6 linked regions of the Cricetulus griseus genome follow. The protein of the gene in region 3 interacts with the protein of the main gene of each other region in a pairwise test. Links are inferred from orthologs where the notes say so. Each region holds a gene or a part of one and is shown on either strand. Other genes may lie near its edges. The genes, in order: Cchcr1, Casp7, Sat1, Rbm17, doublesex- and mab-3-related transcription factor 3 and Dipk1b.

Region 1 (4,225 bases), on a different chromosome or scaffold from region 3:
AGCAACTGGATGGAAGAACTGTGGATGCCAGGCTTCTGAGGCTGCCTTGAGCTGGGAAGGAATGCCTAGGTCACTAGAACACCGCCTTAATGGGAACAAGGAGGTTCAGCAACCCTGGACACTTGAGTCAAGTGTGAGCATAGTGCTAGAATGTCCACTTTACTGATGACACCCCAGCGCCTCCCTCCTAGCCCTGTGTGAGCTAAAGCAGCCGGGCAGGTTAGTCCTGCACAGCTCTCATGGGCAGATCAAACCGGATCCTGCTTGTCTGCTCTACCAGAGATTGACAGGGACTCTGGGAGGCAGGTATGGAGTCCCAGAGGCTCCCCTACTCATGCCATCCTGGGGCTGCCTGCTCACCGCTTACCTTGACTGCTGTGGTCCTCCAGGCTGACCCGCCAGTCGTCCCCTTGGAGCTCAGCGTGCAGCAATGCATGGACCCCAGAGATGAGGCCCGGCTCCTGCTGGGGCCGCAGGGCCACATCACACAGGTCAGCCCTGCAGCCCAACCGATAGGTGCAGCCTGACCTGGACGGGGGGTGGAAGGTGTAGAGATCACCGCCCCTGCCGCCCCCTATGCGCAGCAGCTGGAAGCAGGGCAGCATGGGGGGGTGCTCCCCTCTGCACCGCTTCTCAGCAGTTCATCACCTCTCCTACTCCCAGGCCATGCACCGGGGGCTTCGGTTCAGTTGTCTGACGTCAGCAGCCCCACTGTGGGTAATGCCAACTTGAGAAACACAGATTTCCAAGAGCGCCAGAGGCCTGGACACGCATGCAACCGCTGTAGCTAGCGGCTGTCAAGATGAGACTTCAAAAGCAATTCCGGAGAAGCCCTTTCGCGATGCAAAACCAGGAAGACGTCCTGTGGGACCTCCGTGATGCCGGGTCCTCAGGCCGCAGAATATCCGGGGAGGCTGTAGCAATCTGTTCAAGGCAAAGCTACTTTAAGCGGCAGCTGGGGACACCCCAGCGGGGTGAGGAGGTCCCGCTACACGGACGTGCGTGCGACACGAACGTGTCCCCTCGAGTGTAAGCAGGAGCCGGGAGGGAAGCCTACAGGTCAAACTTCCTAATCCAGGTAGAGCACCCCTTCTGTCCTGCCCCGAGGGAAGGGAATCCGCTGTCACCCACAAAGGGCGGCGCAGACAGGTCCCTAACTCTGCAACAAGGTGGAGCTCACCCTCTCCTCTTGCGCTTGCGGGGTGCCCCGAAGAAGGACTCCACACCCTGTGCCCCTCGCTCCCGCTGCGGTTTGACAGCCAGGAAGCCGCCCTCCGGAGGGCGCGGCTCGGGCGGGCGAGCGGGCGAGCCGGCGGGCGCGCACCGCGCAGACTCCTCCTACGGAATTCCCGGGTCCAGCTTCGCGCCTGCGAGCCCGCGCCCCTCCCCAGGCTGTCTCTGATTGGCCATCTGACTCGCCCTCCTCCGCTGTACTGGACGATGCGCAGGGAGGGGCCGTCCATCTCCCGCCCTCCGCCGTTTCTGATTGGCCTGCAGGTTTCCCGGGTTCCCGGGATGGGGCGGGGCCGCCAGGGCGCGGAGAAGGCCTGGAGGAGTCAGTGTGCCTGCGTGCGCCGTTCTTCTTCCTTCCTCCTTCCGGCAGGCGGGGCGAGTTGGGGCTTTAGAGCATCCCGCCAACCCCACCCGCCGCGCGCATGCGTGCTCAGGGCGGGAAGCCTAGCGGGGAAGCCAGGGGCTAAGGGGCGTGGCAAGAAGGCGGACCTCGCGCTGGGTAAGGAGCGTTCGGCCGGAGTCGGTTGGTTGGGGGCGGAAAGGGGCCTGAGAGGGGGTGCTCAGGAGGGTGGAGGGGGTCCACAGGGCAGGAGGGGTGCAGGAGCCCGGTGAAAGAACAGATGAGGAGGTCGGGGCAGCCTTACAGCTCAGGGTCCTAGTGAGGGGGATGAGCCCGTGGGTGTGTGCAGGAGAGGAGAGGGCAGACCTGAGGACAGCGAGCGACCGGGACCATAACGTCAAGAAAAATGCAGAGTAGGACTAGGAAGAGAAGCGTGTAGGGATCTCGTTGAGTGGAAAACAAACAAACAAACAAAAAATTTGAGTTCGGACGGGAGTTGGACAAAGAAGATGCTGCAGGACTCTGAGCAGCGAAGGGCTTCGGGAATGGAAGCAGAGGGGATAGAGAGAAACTGAGGCCCGCTGCAGGGAGACTCCGATGAGATAACAGGAAGCTGGCTGCCTGGCAACGCGCTCCAGGCTGCTTGCATTCCCTGGGGATCCTAGGGAAGCCGCTTAACCCTACATGAGGCCCCATTCTTCTGGTGCCAGGCCTTGGGCTAACGCTTTTGTAGGAAATGACCCAGAAATCATGGCGCGGTGGTGCCTAGATGGGTTTCCCAACGTCCCTACCATACCATGGCGAGAACTGTGGAGACGGGGTTCACAACAGGCCCGCTCACCTCCAGACCAGAGCTACAGGGATCGTAGACACTTAAGGAGGAAGGTAAAGGCACCACTCACAATCCTGTAGTAGAAGCAAAATCCCCAAGAGCATCCCCTGGCCCCCATCTCGGTACATTTACCCCATGATTGTTGCCTGGTTCCTTTGTCAGGAGCGTGTGTTCGGGACAAGCAAGTCTGCCTTGTTAGGGAAGTAGGGAGAGAGAAGCTCAGAGCTGGGCAGATCTGTCAGTAACTGAAGGATTGTGGCTTTGTTATTATAGGACTTCCTCTTTGGAAGGTGGCCTGAAAACTGAACTGGAGTCTCCTTGTTTCTCCTACTGTCCAGGGGAACCTACACTCTTGCGGACAAGATCGAGAGGCTTCAGATAGAGTGGAGATGTTGTCTCCCTCAGGTCAGTAAGGCCAATCAAGGAGGCTGGGAAGTCTCTCTGTGTCTCTCTGCCTCTGTCTTTCTCCCTCTCTCCCTCCCTCTCCTCTCTTTCTCTCCCTCTCTCTCTCCTTCCCTTCCTCCCTCCCCCTCCCTCCCTCCCTCCCTCCCTCCCTCCCTCCGTCTTCCTCTCTCTCTCTGAGAAACTGACAGTCTTTACTCTTGTGACCCACCCCCTCAGGTTTTGCTGGACTGGTTCCTCCCTCCCACTTCCAAGCTCGGCCGAGAATGGCCCCGACCTGGGCTTCAGACATTCCCCAGTTCCAATCCACATTTGACCAAGATGTCCTAGAGAGGCGGCAGCTGGACTCTCAGAGGCCCACAGTGACCATGAGGGAACAGGATGTCTATGGAGATGGGCAGGGGCCAGGGCAGAGAGGCAGGTAGGGATCTGTCAATCACCTTTTTCTCAGACTTGCTAATGATCCTTTATACACACATTCCTTTATTTCAGCAGCCCTGGGTTCCATAACTTGTGTGGTTTTCTGTAGGCCATTGTTGGTACCTACACTGCATATACCATTATGCCCTGGAGAAAATCAAGAGAGAGGAGAGAGAGAGAGAGAGAGCGCGCGCTCTGGACTTAAATTCCCAATTAACAAGTGTTGCTAGAGTTTCTTTTCCTCCAGGTCCTGCCACCGCTTCAGCCCCAAATAAACACACAGACACTATATTAGTTATAAAACAGTTGGCCAATGGCTAGGGCTTCTTGGTGGCTAGCTCTCTCTTCATCATTAACCCACTTCTATAAATCTATGTATTTCCACGTGGTCTTGGCTTACCAGAAAATGCCCAGACCTGTTACTCCTTTGGCAGCTACATGGCATCTCCTCCCTGCATCTCTCCCAGGGTTCTCCCTGTCTCCCTGCCCCACCTATCTTCCTGCCTCTTTTGGCCAAACAGTGTTTTATTCATCAACCAATAAAAGAAACATATATACTGAAGGGCATCCCCCATCATCTCCTCTTTTCTGTCTAAATAAAAAGAAGGGTTTACTTTTACTTTAACATAGTAAAATTATATATAACAAAAACAGTTATCAAGTAAAAACATATAGTTAACAATAAAGAAGGAGTGTAAATGTCTGAGGGAGGAGATGGATTGCCCAGAAGCCATTGTGAAACGAAGTGACATGCTGGCTCTTAGTTAAAAGGGCCTTTCCCGGCATACACCACTGGAGCTGGCTATGCTCGGCATATGTGGTTTAAGATTTTATTTTTGAGCCGGGCATGGCCTGCCTTTAATCCCAGAGAGGCAGACAAGCAGGCAGATCTGAGTTCAAGGCCACTCCCTCCCTGGTCTACAGAGTGAATTCCCTGACAGCCAGGGCTACATAGAGAGAATCCTGTCTGGGGAAAAAAACAAAACAAAACAAAAAAG
Region 2 (2,320 bases), on a different chromosome or scaffold from region 3:
GCCTTTACCCCAAGTCCACTGTGCTTAGCATCTTTGTTTCTACATTATCCCACTTTGCTTACAAAGCCCATGGATTCTGGCAGTAAAAGGGCAGATGTTAGAGTCATGGTCTCTACTTAAACTGTGACCATCTGGTAGAGTTTTGATGGCAGGGACCAGCAGCAAGTCCAACAAACTGGCCTTAAGTGATTTTCTTAGTGGGAAGTCTACTTTTACAACACTGATTTTTCTTCCCAAATTAACAGGAGGGAGGCCATCCCAAACCGCGTTACAGGTTAATTAACCCTTTTTATGAAACATTTGACTTCTAAGTGATTAACATACTTATAGTGCTCTAGCTTCAGAATAAATAATGTTTGTGCTTTGTATGGAGACACAGGCAGCAGGGCCATTCTCACCTGGTTTCCTAATTTGTTGTCATCTTCTCTTATTTTCTTTTATGTTCTCTAAGTTCTCACTGCCCTAGATAACTTTATGAAGAAAGCAGCCTGGGCCAGTGAGGAGTTACTAAACCACATTTTAATCAATAAATAGGAACATTTGTTAACCATTTATTAGGTGGAAAAAAATAGGAACGTATAGCGAATTCCAAAGAAAACGACACCTTGAAAAGGAAGTGCCAAGATCTTTACCCTAAGTATCATTCATAGAATCAGAGGTAACAAAATATTATTTAGGAAAAAAAAACAACTTGGAATATTTGAAAGAATTCCAGATGTGTCTGAAATAAAAAACCACTATTTTGCACATGAAGTAGAAACAGATTGTTCTTCAGCACCTGTGTGGATGGTCTGACAAACCGATGAACAGAAGAACTGCGGCGTACAAAACTGTTATTTAAGTTCACATTATGGGCCAAGTTCACACCCCCCACTCCCTGGCTCAACAGCTCTTGCTCTGATCTGATTCCCAGGGAATCTCCATCCCCAGGGCCCTCATCAGCTGCTTTCAGGTACCTTGAATGTTGAGGTGTTGGTGAGGGTATGAGGACAAGCCTGGGGAGGCCTTGGTATCTGACTCAGCTCCCGCTTGGTTTCTATCTCAGACAGTAGCTTTTGTCCTTGGTGTGGCTCCATTTACCACAACTCTCCATGGTCCTAGCTCCTGGGGGCAGCGCTACCAGTTCTTACTGATGACCAGGGAACCAGCCTCCTCTTACAGCCTCCCAGTCACACCTGAGGTAAGAGATTTCAACTGCTTGGCTCTTTTTCTTAATTACCCACTTAAGTGAGCTCCCTGTATTGACCCTTCTCCATCGGAACACCGAAAATGGCTTGTTTTCTGGACCAGATCCTGCATACTAAAATACTATTTCCTCACTTCCCTGGGAAGGTCTGCTTAAGAATCTGTCCGAAGCCAATGAAAACAACCGCTCTACAAAACAGCCACCTTTTCCAGGCAGGAGAGGCAATGAGTGTCTTGGCTATGCTTGTTTGTCAAGAACTGGAATTCTCTTTGCCAAGTCAAACTAAGACTGACTTTCCATTAATGCCACCACCAAGAAGTCTTCTCCAGAGGTCATTTTCATAGCACACACTCATGTGATGACCAGGTAAAGGAACTCTGAACAGAAAATTAACCTTAAAAGGAAAGAACAAAGCCATCCAATGAACAAAATTATTAAAAAAAAACTCTAGGAATGCAGAATATCAGACATTGCCAATCAACTTCCTCCCTGCTCAATCAATACACAAATCTCTTTAACATTCCCGGGTATTTTGAGAGCATCAAAACAATTAAAATAGAATAACAACTGGACTCATGGATGAGTGCCTGCAGGCTCTCAGCTGGAAGGGAGGGATGTCAACGGCCAAAGTAGAGCTCTTTGGTGAGCATGGAGACCATACATGGGATCTGCTTCTTCTCGTTGAAGCAGGGATCATCACACTGGGACTCGAAGTGCCTGGCCACCCTGTCGTTCACTCTGGTCAGGATCTGCATGATCTCCAGGTCTTTGCCATGCTCGTCCAGGATGGAACAGAGGGCCTGCACAAACCAGGAGCCTTTTCCTGGGTTCCTCCATGAGTAATAGCCTTCACGGGGGGGGGGGGGGGGTTTGAAGAGAGAGAGAGAGAGAGAGAGAGAGAGAGAGAGGATCCATTAGCCAACCTTGCAAGCTACATCACCCCCTGGGAAGAATGGACTCTCAGCATTGTGGGGCCTGGGTGTCCATTTGGACATAATCTTCCTTTCGTCTGCACTAAGGCGCCAATGAGACGGCTATTTTGAGAGCGAGCATCAGGGTGTGAAGATGCTCAAGAATCTTTGGGTTTTCCAGCACGGAAACCAGTGACAGACATGTGACTAAGGGCCCATGATG
Region 3 (4,238 bases):
AAAGGAAACAAGAGAAACACATGAACTAGAGCAAGTAAGGGTTACAACAGCAAAGGAAGGCAGGAGATGATCAGATATCGGCGTGCTGAAAGAAAACTTCCAGACCTCAAAATCTATAAGCAGTGACATAAATCCTTCAACAATGTAAGCTGACATACACAATATGCAAAACTGAGATATTTTTACAAAATCAAACCTTCATTAAAGGAAATTAGGAAGTACATCCCTCAGTCAGAAGGAAAGTCCACAGGAATGAACAGAGGTTTAAGAAGGAAATAAGGAGGGGGAAGTAAAAAGAAAATACTTTACAACTTTAGTCATTGGACACTGGTTCTCAATCTTCCTAATGCTGCGACATTTTAATGCAGTTCTTCATGTGTGGTCGTCCCCAGACATAAAATTATGTCATTGCTACTTCATATCTGTAATTTAGCTGTTATGAATTGTAATGTAAATATTTGTGTTCTTAGGTGACCCTTGTAAAAGGGTTGTGCGACCCCCAAGGATTGTGACCCACAGTTTGAAAACTGCCGAACTAGAAGGAAAGAAATTAAGGAATCCTAAGATTTGATCTTAGGGAATTAGAGAAAATACAAGAAGATCAGGACATGGTGGTGCATGCTTTAATCCTCACACTGGGGAGGCAGAAGCAGGCAGATCTCTGTGAGCTGTGAATTCTAGGACAGCCTGTTGTACATAGAGAGTTTCAGGACAGCCAAGGCAACACAGAGAGACCCTGTCTCAAAAACAAAACAAAAATGCAAATACACACACATTCCTTTAGTCATGAAAACGATGACATCACCACATAGCAATGAACTGCCTGTGGAAAATTACAACAAAAGGGGAAAAAATTACACCTCCCGATCACACTTTGAAAATGGCTAGAATAATCTTTCTGTCATCCTCAAAAGTCAGGCTTTCTGAGTTTGCTTTTCTCAGCAATGTCCGGGGGTCACAGGGGCAATCCGCATTTTCTATTTACAGAGGTTACTAGGGCACACTCGGGCACTCACTCATAGGCTTCCTGGAAGGATCCCTGAGGCGCCGCTAGGGGACGCAAGGCCTTGATAGCGCAGTGGCGCACCTCGCCCTGTCCCGCCCTCCCGGTTTGCGCCATCGGTTTCAGGGTCACGAGAGAGCCCGGAAGAGGGAGGTGCTCCCGCGGGCTCGCAGCCTTACTGGTTGTGATCGCTCCATCTCACGGTCCCGAGGAGGAGCTCCAGCGGACTTAAAAGGCAAGGTCTTGCCACAACTTAGCTGCGCAGCTTCCCAAAGCAACTCTCCCAGTTTTCTGTCTAACACTGAGGTTCGCCGGGTCATGGTGCCAGCCTGACTGAGAAGAGGACGCTCCCGGGAGACGAATGAGGAACCACCTCCTCCTGCTGTTCAAGTACAGGGGCCTGGTGCGCAAAGGGAAGAAAAGCAAAAGACGAAAATGGCTAAATTCAAGATCCGTCCAGCCACTGCCTCTGACTGCAGTGACATCCTGCGACTGATCAAGGTAGGGAAAAGGCCCGGCTCTCCTTAGGGCGGAGGGTGAGGGAGGTTCCGTTTCCTCGGGGAGTTGATATCTTCGGTTCTGAGATGTTGCCCAGTCAATAATTCCCTTTTCTCAGCCCGCCAACCCCAGCCCGGGTCAGGTCCAGAAGTTCCATGCCAGTCACCACCGGACCCCGCCTACCCCATTTCCCCTTCTGTGAGCTGGCAGGGCTGGACAGGACTTTCATTGTCCTTTCTTTTATATGTATCATTCCCAGGAACTGGCTAAATATGAATACATGGAAGATCAAGTAATGTTAACCGAGAAAGGTAACGAAGTCGTGGCGGGGGGGAGGTGAAGTGGGGAGAGTGGGGCCTCAGGGAGGCAACAAGCTGTTACCTGACACCTACAAAAGTCAACACTGTCTCCTCCTCCCCCATTTTACAGATCTCCTAGAGGATGGTTTTGGAGAACACCCCTTCTACCACTGCCTGATTGCAGAAGTGCCTAAAGAGCACTGGACCCCTGAAGGTAACCCCTTCTTCCTGTCCAGAAGCCAGAGAGAACGAGTGTTGTATCAAAACCGTAGAGTCTACTGTACAGAACCTGTAACTACACGGGCAGAAGTTACTGAGAAGCTGGTCAGAAATAACAGCCAGCCAGTGTGCAAATGACTGAGGAAAAAGAAAATGTATGTGCAGTACTTTATAATAGGGCGGGTTAAGAGAGCTGTTTAAGCAAGTATCAGAGTGCTGTGGAAACCCGGAAGAGTTAGGTATAATGTCATTTGTTGTAATTCAGTTTCATAAAAATGGTTTTTGTTTGACCCTAACCTAATCTTTTTTTTTTTTGTAATTGTGTTAAATCACATTTTTTTCTTTAATTTGTCCCAATCCTCAGGTTACAGTCTCTAGCTTCGCCATGTACATGGCCCTTCTGTGTACATGGATGGGCGGGGAGGTAACTAAAAGATCCTTTACACAATAAAGTAGATGATCATGATAAATGAGGTAAGGTCCTATTATCGCACACTTAAAACATGGTAGATCAGAAACTTATATTCGCTTCCTGTCTGTTTGCAAAGAAATAGAAAATGGCTAGAAAGTTTAATTTGCAACCATTGCCTCCGTTTGGAATTGAGTTGACACTCCTTTTGAGGGAGTCAATTTTGAATTGGTTTTATTTTTATTTTTATTTATGTATTTCTTTTTTGCTGACCCTTGTTGACTGGTCAGAAGAGGGCTAAAAGGGGAAGTTGCTTGGGTGGATGATTTCTTCAATTTTCTTCTGACGTCTGTTCCCGAGGCTAGAATGTAATAAGAACACCCAAGGGATAAGCTGGCTTTTAGAAGTAAGTGGGTGTTACGTAACACTGGATTCTTGTTACTGCTACTTCTCCTGCCTTAAAAACTTGGGAAAGTAAATTGAAAATTTATGCATGGGAAGACAAGTTCTGAAAGTAAACATAGTACTTTTGGCCTGGTGTTCTGACCTTAAGGAAGCAAGAGTTGGTAAACTACAAATATTTCCTCTTCTAAACTGCTGTGTAAACCCAACTTTTGCCAAGCTGACATACCAGTATGTCATCAGGATGTGAATAATGTGTGTGTTTAGTTTAAGTCTGTGGCAATTTTGCTCTGGCAAGTAATGAAAGTGTTCTCATTTCCTGAGTGTGAGTCCAGCAGACTGCAGACTAGCCAGTCCACAGGTGTAGCCTAGCTTCAGCTAGCTCTAATGTGTGCTTTTTGCAAATACATGTCTGAGACCAGAGAGATCGTCCATCATCGGTCTGCACTGTACTAGCATAAACATGAGGAGGCAGTCCAGTTCATGACTACTTGTTTCCATGATGCATGCACGTGTATTTTCTTACAATCTATGATAGGCTTCTGTTTCTGCCAATACAGCTTGAATGGTTTGCTTTTTTTCTCTGTATCTCATGGGATACTCTTATTACAGGACACAGCATTGTTGGTTTCGCCATGTACTATTTTACCTATGACCCATGGATTGGCAAGTTACTTTATCTTGAAGACTTCTTTGTGATGAGTGATTACAGAGGTACAATTGAATTTGGGATTGGAGGCAGTTTAAAGAGAAATCAGAGCCTTTGGCCTTAAAATGACTAAGCTAAATTGTATTGCTTTCTTTTAGGGTTTGGCATAGGATCAGAAATTTTGAAGAATCTAAGCCAGGTATGTTCACTAGCATTTCTTTGTATATCCCAGACTGGCCTAGTATTAATATGTAGCCCTGGCTGGCCTCAAGCTTGTCTCCACCTCCCTAGTGCTGGGATCATAGTTGTGGCCCATCACATACACCCAGGTGTCCTAGATTTAGGCTTCTGAATTTGTAAGAGTTATTGGGTTATTGTAATGAATGAATCAAAATTGGGTCTTGGCAAGCGGGTGAAATGTCACTGGGCTTATGTTTTCTCTCTTGTACTAGGTTGCCATGAAGTGTCGCTGCAGCAGTATGCACTTCTTGGTAGCAGAATGGAATGAACCATCTATCAACTTCTACAAACGAAGAGGTGCTTCTGACCTGTCCAGTGAAGAGGGATGGAGGCTCTTCAAGATTGACAAAGAGTACTTGCTAAAAATGGCAGCAGAGGAGTAAGGAGTGCCTTTGTAGACAATGACAACCTCCATTATACTTTAGAATAAATTCTCAACTTATCTTGCTCTCTATCTTGTTTGTAGTGAAATAATAGCATGAACACCAATTCCAAAGCTTTATTACCAGTGGCGTTGTT
Region 4 (3,500 bases), on a different chromosome or scaffold from region 3:
TAAAGTGTAGACTTTGCATGAATTAGAAAAGTAACTTAGAAAACCCACTGGTAGCCAGGTGTGGTGGTACATGACTGTAATCCACCTACATAGTTTAAGACTAGCCAGGGCTACATGAGACTATCTGAAAACCAAAACACAATAGAAACCCATGTTGAAATTGTTAGCAGGGTTGTGACTGCCAGAATCACAACTACTTACAGTGTTTCAGTGTTATTCCTTTATTTTGGGGATTGGATTTTGGTTTTTCTAGATGGGGCTTGTCTGTGTAGCCCTCGCTGTCTTGGAACTCACTACGTATACCAGGCTGTCTTTGAGCTCAATGAGATCTGCCTGCCTGTGCCTCCTGAGTGCTGGCATTAGAGATGTGCCACCATACCTAGCGTCTTAAAATTTTTAGTTTTGTTAATTAATATGAATTCTATACTAATATGGTATTTCTCGTTTATTGGATGAGTGACTTTTATGAGTGATTTTGTAGCCTAGAAAATTGAAATCATTAAACTGTATATGCATATGCCTTAAAATAAAAAGTTAGATATAATTTTTTTCCTATGGATTATACTCCTGTATTGGTTAAACTTGTTCATTTTTTCTTTTGAATTCTTTTCCATCCCCAGCATATATACATAAATTGAAAATTTATTCTTAAAGAACATTTTTCTTTTGCCAAGAGAAAGTCATGATGACGTTTAAGCTTCATGTTCTGTACTAATTTGTCTGTGATAAACATTCATTACTTTGTTATTACAGGAGGCGTAAAGACAGGCATGAAGCCAGCGGGTTTTCTAGGCGACCAGACCCAGATTCTGATGAAGATGAAGATTATGAGCGAGAGCGGAGAAAAAGAAGTAAGGCATCAACAGAGATAAGCACACTTTAGACTCAGCACTATCCCAGGCATTGCTTTTTTTCATTTGAGACATGGTTTATTTCACTTTAGTTTGGGTAATTGCGTGGGGGTGGGGAGATCAGGGGGAGGTGCTCTATATTCCCACCAGTCCACATTCCATAGCAGCTTTGGTTTATACTGTTTTCATATATACCTTACTCTGAACTTCATAAACACTTTGAGACATTTGTTATATATTTTGAAAATAGCATTAGTTTTATTTCTCCACTTTAATTGAGGCATGGTCATCTCTTGTTTCTCAAGCCCAGTGCATTTCAGGTCAGCACTGGGTAGGGAGGGAAGACAACATATTCAGAGTACATTTGTCACTAGTTCAACTGGAGTTGAGAGTCCATCATGCTTCTTTGCATGTTCACCTGCCTCCTGAGGACAGGGAGATCAAAACCTGTACTGGGGACTTTGACCCAGTCTTCCTATTAACAGTTTGAGCAGAGGGTTAGTTGTGTCTAAAATCAATTCCTAGGAATTACAAGCAGTAGCTGATGGTACTTGAAAGAATACAATAATCTTTTGGCTTCATGGTGTGCTTGCCAGGACTTTAGTTGGCTGGTTTGGTTGACAGAATCCTTTGCTTGTTTCCTACCTAACAGGTACTACTTTAAGTGTCTCAGACCTTTACAGCTCGCAGCAGGTTCTGTTAGCTTCCAATGTGAGTCTTGGGGCTAAGTGCATTCTGGACATTATAGACCTGCTTTTGGTCTTGTCCTTGGTTTTATTTGCCAAAGCCCTCACTGTAATTTGTTGTCTTGAACATACAACCTAAGAGTTATGTGTCGTGGTAGTTGGTAGTTCTGTATATGTGGTTCTGTCAGATGGCAGGAATGGTCTTCCCAGCTATATGATGAAGCCTGTTATAGGGTAAAAATTTAAATTTTAAAAATATCTGCTAAGTGGAAAAGAATAAGTTACAATTTAAATATCTTAGTACTTAGATGTGCGAATTAAATGTTTTTGTATGGGTTTTTTTGTCATCGTTGGTTTTGTAGTTTGGTGGTGGAGTTGGTAATGGTGGTGTTTGAGACAGTCTTAATATGCACATAGCCCTGAAACTGTAGCCCAATCATACATTAAGCTCATTGCCATCCCCCTGGCCTCAGCTCCCTGAATGTTTAGATTACAGGCATGCACCACCATGGTTCCATTACTTTTCTTACTTAGAATAATGTTTATTGTTTATTGAATGCATCATGTCTGGTAGTGTTGCACCCTTGATATGCAATATCAATCATTATTTGGTTTTTATTAACATGTTTTCTGTCTTGAATACTTGTAAGCCTCATCTTCCCAGTCCATAAGGTAGCTAATATCTTTTTGTGACAGGTACTTTCTGTATATTAGAGACTTTCCCCCTTGAATAATAGCAGGGACTATGCAACTTCCAATAAAAAGCTTTGGGTATTGTCTACATTTTCTAATATATGTTTATTCTTTGAGAATTTCATACATTAATACAATGTATTTTGGTTATATCCACCCCTTACTCCTCCCAGTTTAACCCCTGCTTCCCTGCCTTCCTCCAACTTTGGTATGCTCTTCTTTAAAAACAAACAAACAAACAAACAAAATTGATCAAGTCCAATATCATATGCTGCCCACACACTTTTGTGTGTGCGGTCATCTAGTGACTTGTGGGCAACCTACCAGGAGTCATACTCTTAAGACAATCCCCAGAAACTGTCAGTTGTTAGTAGCTACTCAGTTAGGGCTTCGAGCTCCTGAGCCCCTTCTTTTTTACATTTTGATACCAGCTTTAGACCTGTAATTGTTTGTATGTTGCCATGAGGAAGGAGGTGGTTCTCTTTCTTGGAGAGCAGGGTGGTGATACAATAGATGGGCAAGTGCTGGATGGTAATTCTTGTAAGTGTATTGTCCTTTAATCCCAGTCCTTGTGTTTTCACAGGTATGGGAGGAGCTGCCATTGCCCCACCTACTTCTCTTGTAGAGAAAGACAAGGAGTGTATGTATACTTTTTTCTTCTTTTATTATCTTATTCTCATACAGGTATTTATGGACAGTGGATATCCTATATTTGAATCTCTAGTTTCCTGAGTTTAAAGCAAAACAACTTTGTTGAAGTCACAGTGGCCCTTACTGCCTGCTGCACTGGGATGCTTTGCTTTGTTTTGTTTTGCAACAGGGTCTCAACTGTGTGGTACTGGCTAGCCTGGAACTGTGTTGACCTGCCTCTGCCTTCTGAATGCCCTGTTGTGCACTTGGAATTTTTTAATACCAGGATCTGAGTGCAGATTTTTATACAGGAAGATAGATTGGTTTTTATTGTTTTCATCAAGATTTCATGTTTGTGTGAGGTTCATTTGAAGTTAATGAAAGCAATAGTTGCTCATGCCCATTACCCAGCATGGAGGACAAAGACAGGAAATACACAAATTCAAGGCCAGCCCATGCTGGATAGTGCGTTTCCAGGCTAGCTTGTGCTATAGAGTGAGACCTGTCTCAAAAGTCACAAATAGGTAACAGATTTTGTAACTCAGAGGTTTAGGGCCTGTTGTATTTTGTGACCTTTCACAAGGAGGCAGTGACTTTTCCCATTAATTTTTGTTACTGAGCAGTATTTGTCTACACAGTA
Region 5 (3,282 bases), on a different chromosome or scaffold from region 3:
AGGAGGGGTGCCTTCTAGAAGCTTCTTTGATGAAATTTCACCTCTGGCTATCTGCACACAATCAGGTTTGCCCACAGAGAGGCCTACAATGAGACTATTCAGGCCGGAAGAGAAAACACAGAGCCACAGTTTACAACCTGACTAGTGCCTACTGGGAGTGGTTTCTTCTCTTTTCTTTTTCAGATCAGTTACTCTGGATTAAGCACCCACAGCTAGCCTATTATTTCTTTAAAGGCTAAAAATCTATTTGTATGTAGTTTGCTAATAAAAAAAACTATGTTCTTTAATTTAGAGTTTCTGTTAGAATTTACTATGAAACCCAAAGTACTGTCACCCACTCCCTTTTGCCTATTTAGCACTGCAAAGCTTGCTCTCCTGGGTGCCGTCTTCAGGTTGTTAAAATGTCAAATTGGCAACTGATCTGTTTCATAAAAGGTTGTGAGATAGATGCAGCCAGAACAGAAGGCTTTGTGTGCCAGGATAATGTTTGCTGTTGTAAATCTGTAGGCTGCGCTTAACAACCCCTCTTGCTAGAATTAGCTCTGTTAAGGAAGTTCTTTGTCATCCTTCCCCCTTCAAATGGAATTTGGAATGTTGCATATAGGTCCTTTCCCGGGACTTTACTGGCACACTGGCTCACACATGGGCATCCAGGTACCCCTTGCCACACAAGGTGGGTAGACAGGGCTCCCTCTTCTGCTCCGAAACCTTCCAGCCATTTCTTTCTCCTCTCCATCTGTCCTGCCGTCCAGAATTAGAACTGGCTTTGTTTGGCCTTGAGTGCAAGGCCCAGGCAGCTGAGTTTGCCTGGCTCTTCAGTAGCTTTCTTTCTTTCTTTCTTCCTTCCTTTCTTTCTTTTTTTTTTTTCAAGTGATTTCAAGGGTTGTATTTTTCTTTGGCTTAGAAACTCTATCAACTTATCTACTCACTCATATGTGTATTTTAGACATAGAGTAAAGGATTACCAGCCTACAATCCACACTGCCAGAGATGCTAGTAAACAAGGAGGACCCTAAGAGAGACACACATGGTCCCCTGGAGAAGGGGAAAGGGACAAGATCGCCTGAGCAAATTGAGAGCTTGGGAAGAGGGGGGAGGGAGCTACGAGAATGAAAGGGAAGAAGAGGAAGGATGCAGAGGTCATGAGGGAGCAGAAAGGTTGAGTCAGGGGAAGAATAGAAGAAAGGGTAAGTGATAGGTAGGGGGCGTGTTAGGGGAGGATGAGAGGGAGAAGGGAACTGGGATTGTCATGTAAAACAATCTTGTTTCTAATTCAAATATAAAATGGTGAAAAACTCTATCAACTAGTATCAACATGGTAACCCGGTTAAAAGAAGAACTGTCAGAATTACAAGCCCTATTTATATTATATTATATATAAGTATATAATATAACATAAAACCAGCCCCGTGGGAGGCAGATGTGATTGTTAAAGTGCCCTGTGGGGTAGGTGGTGGTGTATTCCAGCTGATGATGGCTAGAGCTCCTCCTGTGGCCTTCTTTCATGGTTCTGAGGCCTTGTTCAGATCCTCACAGCCCCACTAAATGGGTCGCTAATGCTGTGTACTCCAAGCCTTCTGTGGTTGCTGGCATATGTGGCCATTCTGTGTTCAAGGCGAGCCTCCTCTCCTGCAGCATTCCAAGAAAACCCTGATTGCGCCATCTTTGACCGACCCCACTTGCCCACCCCATTTGATGGTTTTTGATTTCTTCTTTAAAGACCCAGCGAGCCAAACTTCCTCTTCCCAGAAGCCTAGTGCAGTTCGAAGCTGAGCACAGCAGGAAGGGATTAACCCAGCTGTTGTCTTGCCTTCCAGATCTGACTGAAGAGCGACTTGGGGACAGCAGTTCAGCAGACAACGCTGCTGCGGAGGCCTTCAGTGACAAAGACACCGACCAGAGGAGCTCCCCAGATGTGGTCAAAGGCAAGAACTGCTTCACTCCAGAGAGCCCCGAGATCGTGTCCGTGGATGAAGGGGGATACGCTGTGCAGAAAAACGGGGGTAACCCAGAAAGCTGCCCTGACAGCCCCAAGTACCACGCTGAGCAGAGCCACCTCCTGATCGAGGGTCCATCGGGGACCGTCTCTCTGCCCTTCAGTTTGAAAGCCAACCGGCCACCCCTGGAAGTGTTGAAGAAAATCTTCCCCAACCAGAAGCCCACTGTGCTGGAGCTCATTCTGAAAGGCTGCGGGGGCGACCTGGTCAGTGCGGTGGAGGTCCTGCTGTCCAGTCGGTCCTCGGCTGCTGGGGCGGAGCGGACGGCCGAAGAGAGCCTCGTGCTGCCCTCCAGCGGCCACATCTTTGAACACACGCTGGGCTCCTACCCCATCTCTTCCTCCAAGTGGTCGGTGGGCTCCGCCTTCCGAGTCCCTGACACCTTGCGCTTTTCGGCGGACTCCAGCAACGTGGTCCCCAACCCCTTGGCCGTGCCCTTGCAGCATCCTTTCCCCCAGCCACCCCGGTACCCATTGATGCTGAGGAATACTTTGGCCAGGAACCAGTCAAGCCCCTTTTTGCCCAACGATGTCACCCTGTGGAACACCATGACGCTGCAGCAGCAGTACCAGCTGAGGTCCCAGTATGTCAGCCCCTTCCCTAGTAACTCCACCAGTGTCTTCCGGAGCTCGCCTGTGCTCTCCTCCCGCACCACAGAGGACCCTCGGATCTCCATCCCCGATGATGGGTGTCCAATCGTGACAAAGCAGCCCATCTACACAGAGGATGACTATGACGAGAGATCCGACTCCTCGGACTCTAGAATACTCAACACATCATCCTAAAGTGTTACCTATGGGTGGTGACCAAGTGGCATTTTGTGTGTGCTGGACCCCCCCTCCACCCAGGAGAGTCCACTAATACTGTATTCTCTTTCCTCCTGTTTGACAAAGTGACTGTGCTTGATAGTCTATACATTAGCAATAAAAACATAACTTATTTAATTCCCTGCACTGGAGAATGCCAAATAGGTCTGCTCTGTGGATTTCGTGCTGAGTGTTATAGATGAGTCTAAAGCTAAGGACTGCCTAAGAAGGCTGGGCCTGGGGAGATTTAGTTGGAGGGTCAACTTTACTCCTAAATTCAACCTGGAATGTTAAGTGAAATAGTATACTTGAATGCAATTTTGTGAAAGGATTCCTCAGGATGCCGGAAACCTTAGGGAGTGGTCCGGTTGCAGTTGCTGACCAACTATGAACAGGGACATACTGCTCCAATTCAAAGAGAGACTGCACTTGGGGACAGAGCGGACTGTGCAGCCGCTTATTTAAGCCTGGACAATTTT
Region 6 (4,016 bases), on a different chromosome or scaffold from region 3:
TTCTTTCTCCTTCCTCCCCTTCTTTCCTTCCTTGATACAGGGTCTCCCTTTGTATCTGGCTAGTCTGGAACTTGAAACATAGTCTTGAATTTACTTTGATCCTTGTTTCTTCTTCTTGTGTTCTGGGATACAGACCTGGTGTTATTTTTTCTTATTTTGTGACCTGCTCTTGGCTCCAGCTTTCTTCAGCCTTTCTAGGCTATAAATCCAACCCCTTCAGCAGGGCTCATGGGACACTTGCTCCACTTTATGAAAAGAAAATTGGCCTGGTCCAGTAATTGCGAAGTAATTACAATCCTTAAACTAAAGCTGTCTTTTAACACCATTTTGCATAGGATGTATATGGGAAGAACTGGAGCACATGGGAAGGCCTTCAGCCTCCGTATTCCCTTGAATGCAAACGACAATGCCATAGAAGCCCCACCAAAGGTGTGGATGAGGATTCAGGGCAGCTGGTGCGCATGGGGGATGGTGCAGCGGGCATTCTGGATATCGTCTGTTAAGTTCAACAAACCTTTACCCCGGGATCAGCTGCTGCCTCCCTAACACCCTAAATAGGAATCACATGACAGGGCGCGTCTGTCGGTGCGTAGAAATCAAAGACTGGCTCTCAGGAGCAGTTGCTGACCGCTGGGGCTGTGGGTCCTTCCCCACGCCTCGGTGCAGCCATGGCTGCAGACGCTCGGTGCCATACAGCGGCCGTGGCCTCACTACTGATCTCACGTGCAAACACGGGAGGGCTGGGGACAGATCCCTCGTCTTTTACCCTTGAAAAGGTGTAAGAAAAGCGCAAGCGCAGGCCGGGGCCCCTCAGGTCTTCGGCGCCAGCCCTCCCCCTGCGCTCCAATCTCTGTCCGGGTCGCCTTAGCTGGTCGCGGAGCCTGCAGGGGCGAGGTCCCCCCTGCAGGAGGGCGAGACTGGACCAGGGGCCTTGCGCCGGTCCCCCGCGCGCGTGCACGCCCTTCCCAATTGCCTCCGCGCGCGCGCGTGCACGCCCCCTCCCATCCGTTTCCCCGCGCATGCACGCCCTTCCTCTCTGCTGTCTCCCCGCGTGCGCGTCGCGGTCGGCCGTCAGAAAGGCGCGCGCCTCGCTTTTAACGCGGGCCGAAGGCGCGCGGCCCGTATGGCGTGCGAGCGGCGGCCGCTGCGGGCCTGGCCGGGCCTGGGCTGAGGCCGAGCCAGCCGCGGGGTTCCACAGCCCCGGACGGCGCCCACCATGCGGCGGCTGCGGCGCCTGGTGCACCTGGTGCTCCTCTGTCCCTTCTCCAAGGGCCTGCAGGTAAGCGGCGGCAGGCCAGGTGCAGCCACACGGGGAGGGGCTGGGTGTGGGATAGCGTGGGTCGGTGGGCGTGTTGTGCCCGAAGCCCCTCCTTCGTTACTTCGATATTAGGCTGGTTTTTCTGGGGTAGCAAACTTGGGACATCCTCTGGCTATCTGGAACCAGGAACTGTGATGACCTTGGGCCAGTGAGGGCCAGCTTCTATCTGCAGAAGAGACCCCCCCGCCCCCCCTCCCTGCTTATGCTTTGGGGTGATGGGGTCAGGCCTCTGGACTCCAGCCTCTGCTTGCCAGGGTCCTCAGAACCTGCAAGAAGGAACCAGCACTTGTCAGCCCTGCCCAGGTCTCCCTGGCCTCTCTGCAGGGCCGACCTGAGGATGCTGCACCTTTGGCCCGGGGCCTGCCCTGCGTTAGATGGTTTTAGATAAAGGATGAAGACTGAAGCCTACTGGATGTAGAGATCTTCCAGGCTCCGATGCCCTTGTCTGCTCTCCTTTCCCAGGGGCCTTAGCTTGCACTATGGTCCATGCTCAGCCCCAGGTTGGGTGTGAGTTGAGGTTTTTGGGGGAACTTACTTGTGCCAGGAGATGGGGGTGTATCCATTCCCCTAGTTCTGAAGGATAGGCCCTGACTCAGCAGTGACAGGGGTTTGGCCTGGCTCATGGAGAGTACTGGCTGAGCCTCACCGGCCCTGAGCCTGTTTCAGGAAACTGAGGAAACACCAGGGCGCCTGGCACATGGCGTGGGCTTCCTAGGCAGGGAGGCCACTGAGCAGTTACCATCCCTGTAATGACCCCCTCCACCTCCCAAGTGACTTCTCTGGTGCTGGACTATTCATCCCTGCAAAATATGGGCCCAAGGCTTGTCAGCCTGTTCATCACTGAGTAGCAGAAGACCATGTAAGCTTTGAGTAGCCACCATGGTGACACCTGCCCTGGGGTGCAGATATGCAATGATTCAAGGGCCCAGGGGAAGAGATGTGTCTAACAAAGGGCCAGGTAGACCATCAGAACTAACCTGGGTCATAGTAGCCAAAGTGCTTTGGTGGAGCCACCTGTGCCAAGGCCCGGTGTTCTGAGAGGGGCCTGCCTGGAGTGTGGACCCTGTCTTGGCAGACTTCTAGCAGGCTTCTGGTTCTATATTACTTGGTCCAGCCTGGGTCAGCTGCTAGCTCAGGTCCTAGCCCTTTGCTCTTGTGTAGCTTGAAGTCCTTTATCTTGCCTCACAGCAACAGTGTCCCCTGCTGTTTCTCAGTCTTCATGTTTCATTTTGAACAAATCTGAAAGAAACAGCTGATTGCCAGGACCAAATGGGCCCCAGGAGGAGAGGTCCATAGAGCCAGAAGAGGGACCATCTCCTGGAAGAACGTTAAGAAGGGCTGGGCATTGTTCTTGTGAAGGAGGTTCCTTTCTGTTCTGACCTGAGGGAGCTAGGGCAAGAGTATAGATTTGAGTTCAGCATGACTCTCAGATCCAAAAGTGGAATGCTGGCGGGTTCCATTCTCAGACTCTCTGGCAGCGGTAAACAGGAGGCCACAGAAAGCACTTGACATTAGTAGAAGCCCTCCTCTGGGGATGCTGCTCCACAAGTCTGGCCCTCTCACTCTCCTTTGCCATTAAGCTTCAGATTGGGACATTTAACCATATGTGGCACAGGCTGTCTGCAAGAGACTGCCATTTCTCAAGTTGGGCACTGGGGAGGATGGTGGCATCTAGCTGTCTCTGGCTGTCAACTTTGGACACTGTTTGGAGTACTTAGTGGGAGCCAGTGTCCTGAGCACCTAGACCAGACCTCTTCTCACCCTCTAGTGCTCTCACCTGTCAGCTGGGAAAATGAGGACAGAGGAGTGAGGACCACAGAAGTGAAGGTCTTAGGCCCACCCTTGTTTTGGGTTGTAGACTCTCTGCCTGTTTTTGTTTTTGTTTTCTGGTTCCATCTTAAAACATTTTTTAAGACTTAGTTTATGTGAATGAATATTTTGCCTGCATGTATATTGTGATTCATGTGTGCCAGAGGAGGTCAGAAGGAGGCAATGGACCCTGTGGAACTGGAGTTGCAGATGGTTGTGAGTGGGTGCTGGGAACCGAGCTGGTTTCTTCTGAAGCAGAAATGTGTCCACTACACACACAGCTTTTTTTGTTTGTTTGTATGTTTGTTTTGTTGTTTTTGTTTTTCAAGGCAGGGTTTCTCTGTGTAGTTTTGGAGGCTGTCCTGGAACTAGCTCTTGTAGACCAGGCTGGTGTCGAACTCACAGAGATCCACCCACCTCTGCCTCCCCAGCACTGGGATTAAAGGTGTGCGCCACAACCACCTGGCCACACACAGCTTTTAAAAAGAAATTGTGGCAAAATACACAGCATGATGGGTGGTTTAATCCCAGCACTTAGGAAGCAGAGGAGGGGGATCTCTGTGAGTTCTAGGCCATCCTGGTCTACAGAGTGAGTTCCACGACAGCCAGAGCTGTTACACAGAGAAACCCTGTCTCAACAAACAAATAACCACTCACCAAACCAAACCAAACCAAACCAACAACCCTCCCCTCCAAAACACAAAAACCAAAAAGCCCACAGCATGAACTACACTATCCTGCCCACCTCTGCCCACAGCTGGTGTATGTGCATTGAGACCAGCTGTGGAGCCACTGGCATGGCCCGTCCCCAGAGAGCTCACCTTCTCACCCGCACTCTGTGTTCCCAGCCTACCCTGTCCTGACACTCACCTTCTTCTGTTTGCCTCTA

What was found.
Region 1: the proteins of Sat1 (region 3) and Cchcr1 interact in binary tests that used the Homo sapiens proteins (3 or more experiments, as listed by UniProt). The link is inferred for Cricetulus griseus from reciprocal best matches to the Homo sapiens genes SAT1 and CCHCR1.
Region 2: the proteins of Sat1 (region 3) and Casp7 interact in binary tests that used the Homo sapiens proteins (3 or more experiments, as listed by UniProt). The two-hybrid records come from large-scale screens. The link is inferred for Cricetulus griseus from reciprocal best matches to the Homo sapiens genes SAT1 and CASP7.
Region 4: the proteins of Sat1 (region 3) and Rbm17 interact in binary tests that used the Homo sapiens proteins (3 or more experiments, as listed by UniProt). The two-hybrid records come from large-scale screens. The link is inferred for Cricetulus griseus from reciprocal best matches to the Homo sapiens genes SAT1 and RBM17.
Region 5: the proteins of Sat1 (region 3) and doublesex- and mab-3-related transcription factor 3 interact in binary tests that used the Homo sapiens proteins (3 or more experiments, as listed by UniProt). The two-hybrid records come from large-scale screens. The link is inferred for Cricetulus griseus from reciprocal best matches to the Homo sapiens genes SAT1 and DMRT3.
Region 6: the proteins of Sat1 (region 3) and Dipk1b interact in binary tests that used the Homo sapiens proteins (3 or more experiments, as listed by UniProt). The two-hybrid records come from large-scale screens. The link is inferred for Cricetulus griseus from reciprocal best matches to the Homo sapiens genes SAT1 and DIPK1B.

What each region holds. Positions count from the first base shown.
Region 1 is NW_023276806.1:229,456,600-229,460,824, forward strand, and holds the start of Cchcr1 (coiled-coil alpha-helical rod protein 1), read left to right. Parts: upstream 1-1,425; 5' UTR 1,426-1,440; coding exon 1,441-1,732; intron 1,733-1,738; exon of another isoform or gene 1,739-1,756; intron 1,757-2,283; exon of another isoform or gene 2,284-2,306; coding exon 2,307-2,458; intron 2,459-2,678; exon of another isoform or gene 2,679-2,743; coding exon 2,744-2,810; intron 2,811-3,026; coding exon 3,027-3,228; intron 3,229-4,225. Other genes in the region: Tcf19 (transcription factor 19), read right to left, coding at 368-605. UniProt on the Homo sapiens protein: May be a regulator of keratinocyte proliferation or differentiation.
Region 2 is NC_048596.1:5,002,387-5,004,706, forward strand, and holds the end of Casp7 (caspase-7), read right to left. Parts: intron 2,034-2,320; coding exon 1,804-2,033; 3' UTR 501-1,803; downstream 1-500. UniProt on the Homo sapiens protein: Thiol protease involved in different programmed cell death processes, such as apoptosis, pyroptosis or granzyme-mediated programmed cell death, by proteolytically cleaving target proteins.
Region 3 is NC_048604.1:90,683,124-90,687,361, reverse strand, and holds Sat1 (diamine acetyltransferase 1), read left to right. Parts: upstream 1-1,438; coding exon 1,439-1,504; intron 1,505-1,760; coding exon 1,761-1,812; intron 1,813-1,930; coding exon 1,931-2,014; intron 2,015-3,442; coding exon 3,443-3,544; intron 3,545-3,637; coding exon 3,638-3,678; intron 3,679-3,931; coding exon 3,932-4,102; downstream 4,103-4,238. UniProt on the Homo sapiens protein: Enzyme which catalyzes the acetylation of polyamines. Substrate specificity: norspermidine = spermidine >> spermine > N(1)-acetylspermine. This highly regulated enzyme allows a fine attenuation of the intracellular concentration of polyamines.
Region 4 is NC_048596.1:228,365,288-228,368,787, reverse strand, and holds part of Rbm17 (splicing factor 45), read left to right. Parts: intron 1-753; coding exon 754-851; intron 852-2,813; coding exon 2,814-2,870; intron 2,871-3,500. UniProt on the Homo sapiens protein: Splice factor that binds to the single-stranded 3'AG at the exon/intron border and promotes its utilization in the second catalytic step. Involved in the regulation of alternative splicing and the utilization of cryptic splice sites.
Region 5 is NC_048596.1:35,680,195-35,683,476, reverse strand, and holds the end of doublesex- and mab-3-related transcription factor 3, read left to right. Parts: intron 1-1,817; coding exon 1,818-2,782; downstream 2,783-3,282. UniProt on the Homo sapiens protein: Probable transcription factor that plays a role in configuring the spinal circuits controlling stride in vertebrates.
Region 6 is NC_048599.1:138,019,608-138,023,623, forward strand, and holds the start of Dipk1b (divergent protein kinase domain 1B), read left to right. Parts: upstream 1-1,216; coding exon 1,217-1,279; intron 1,280-4,016.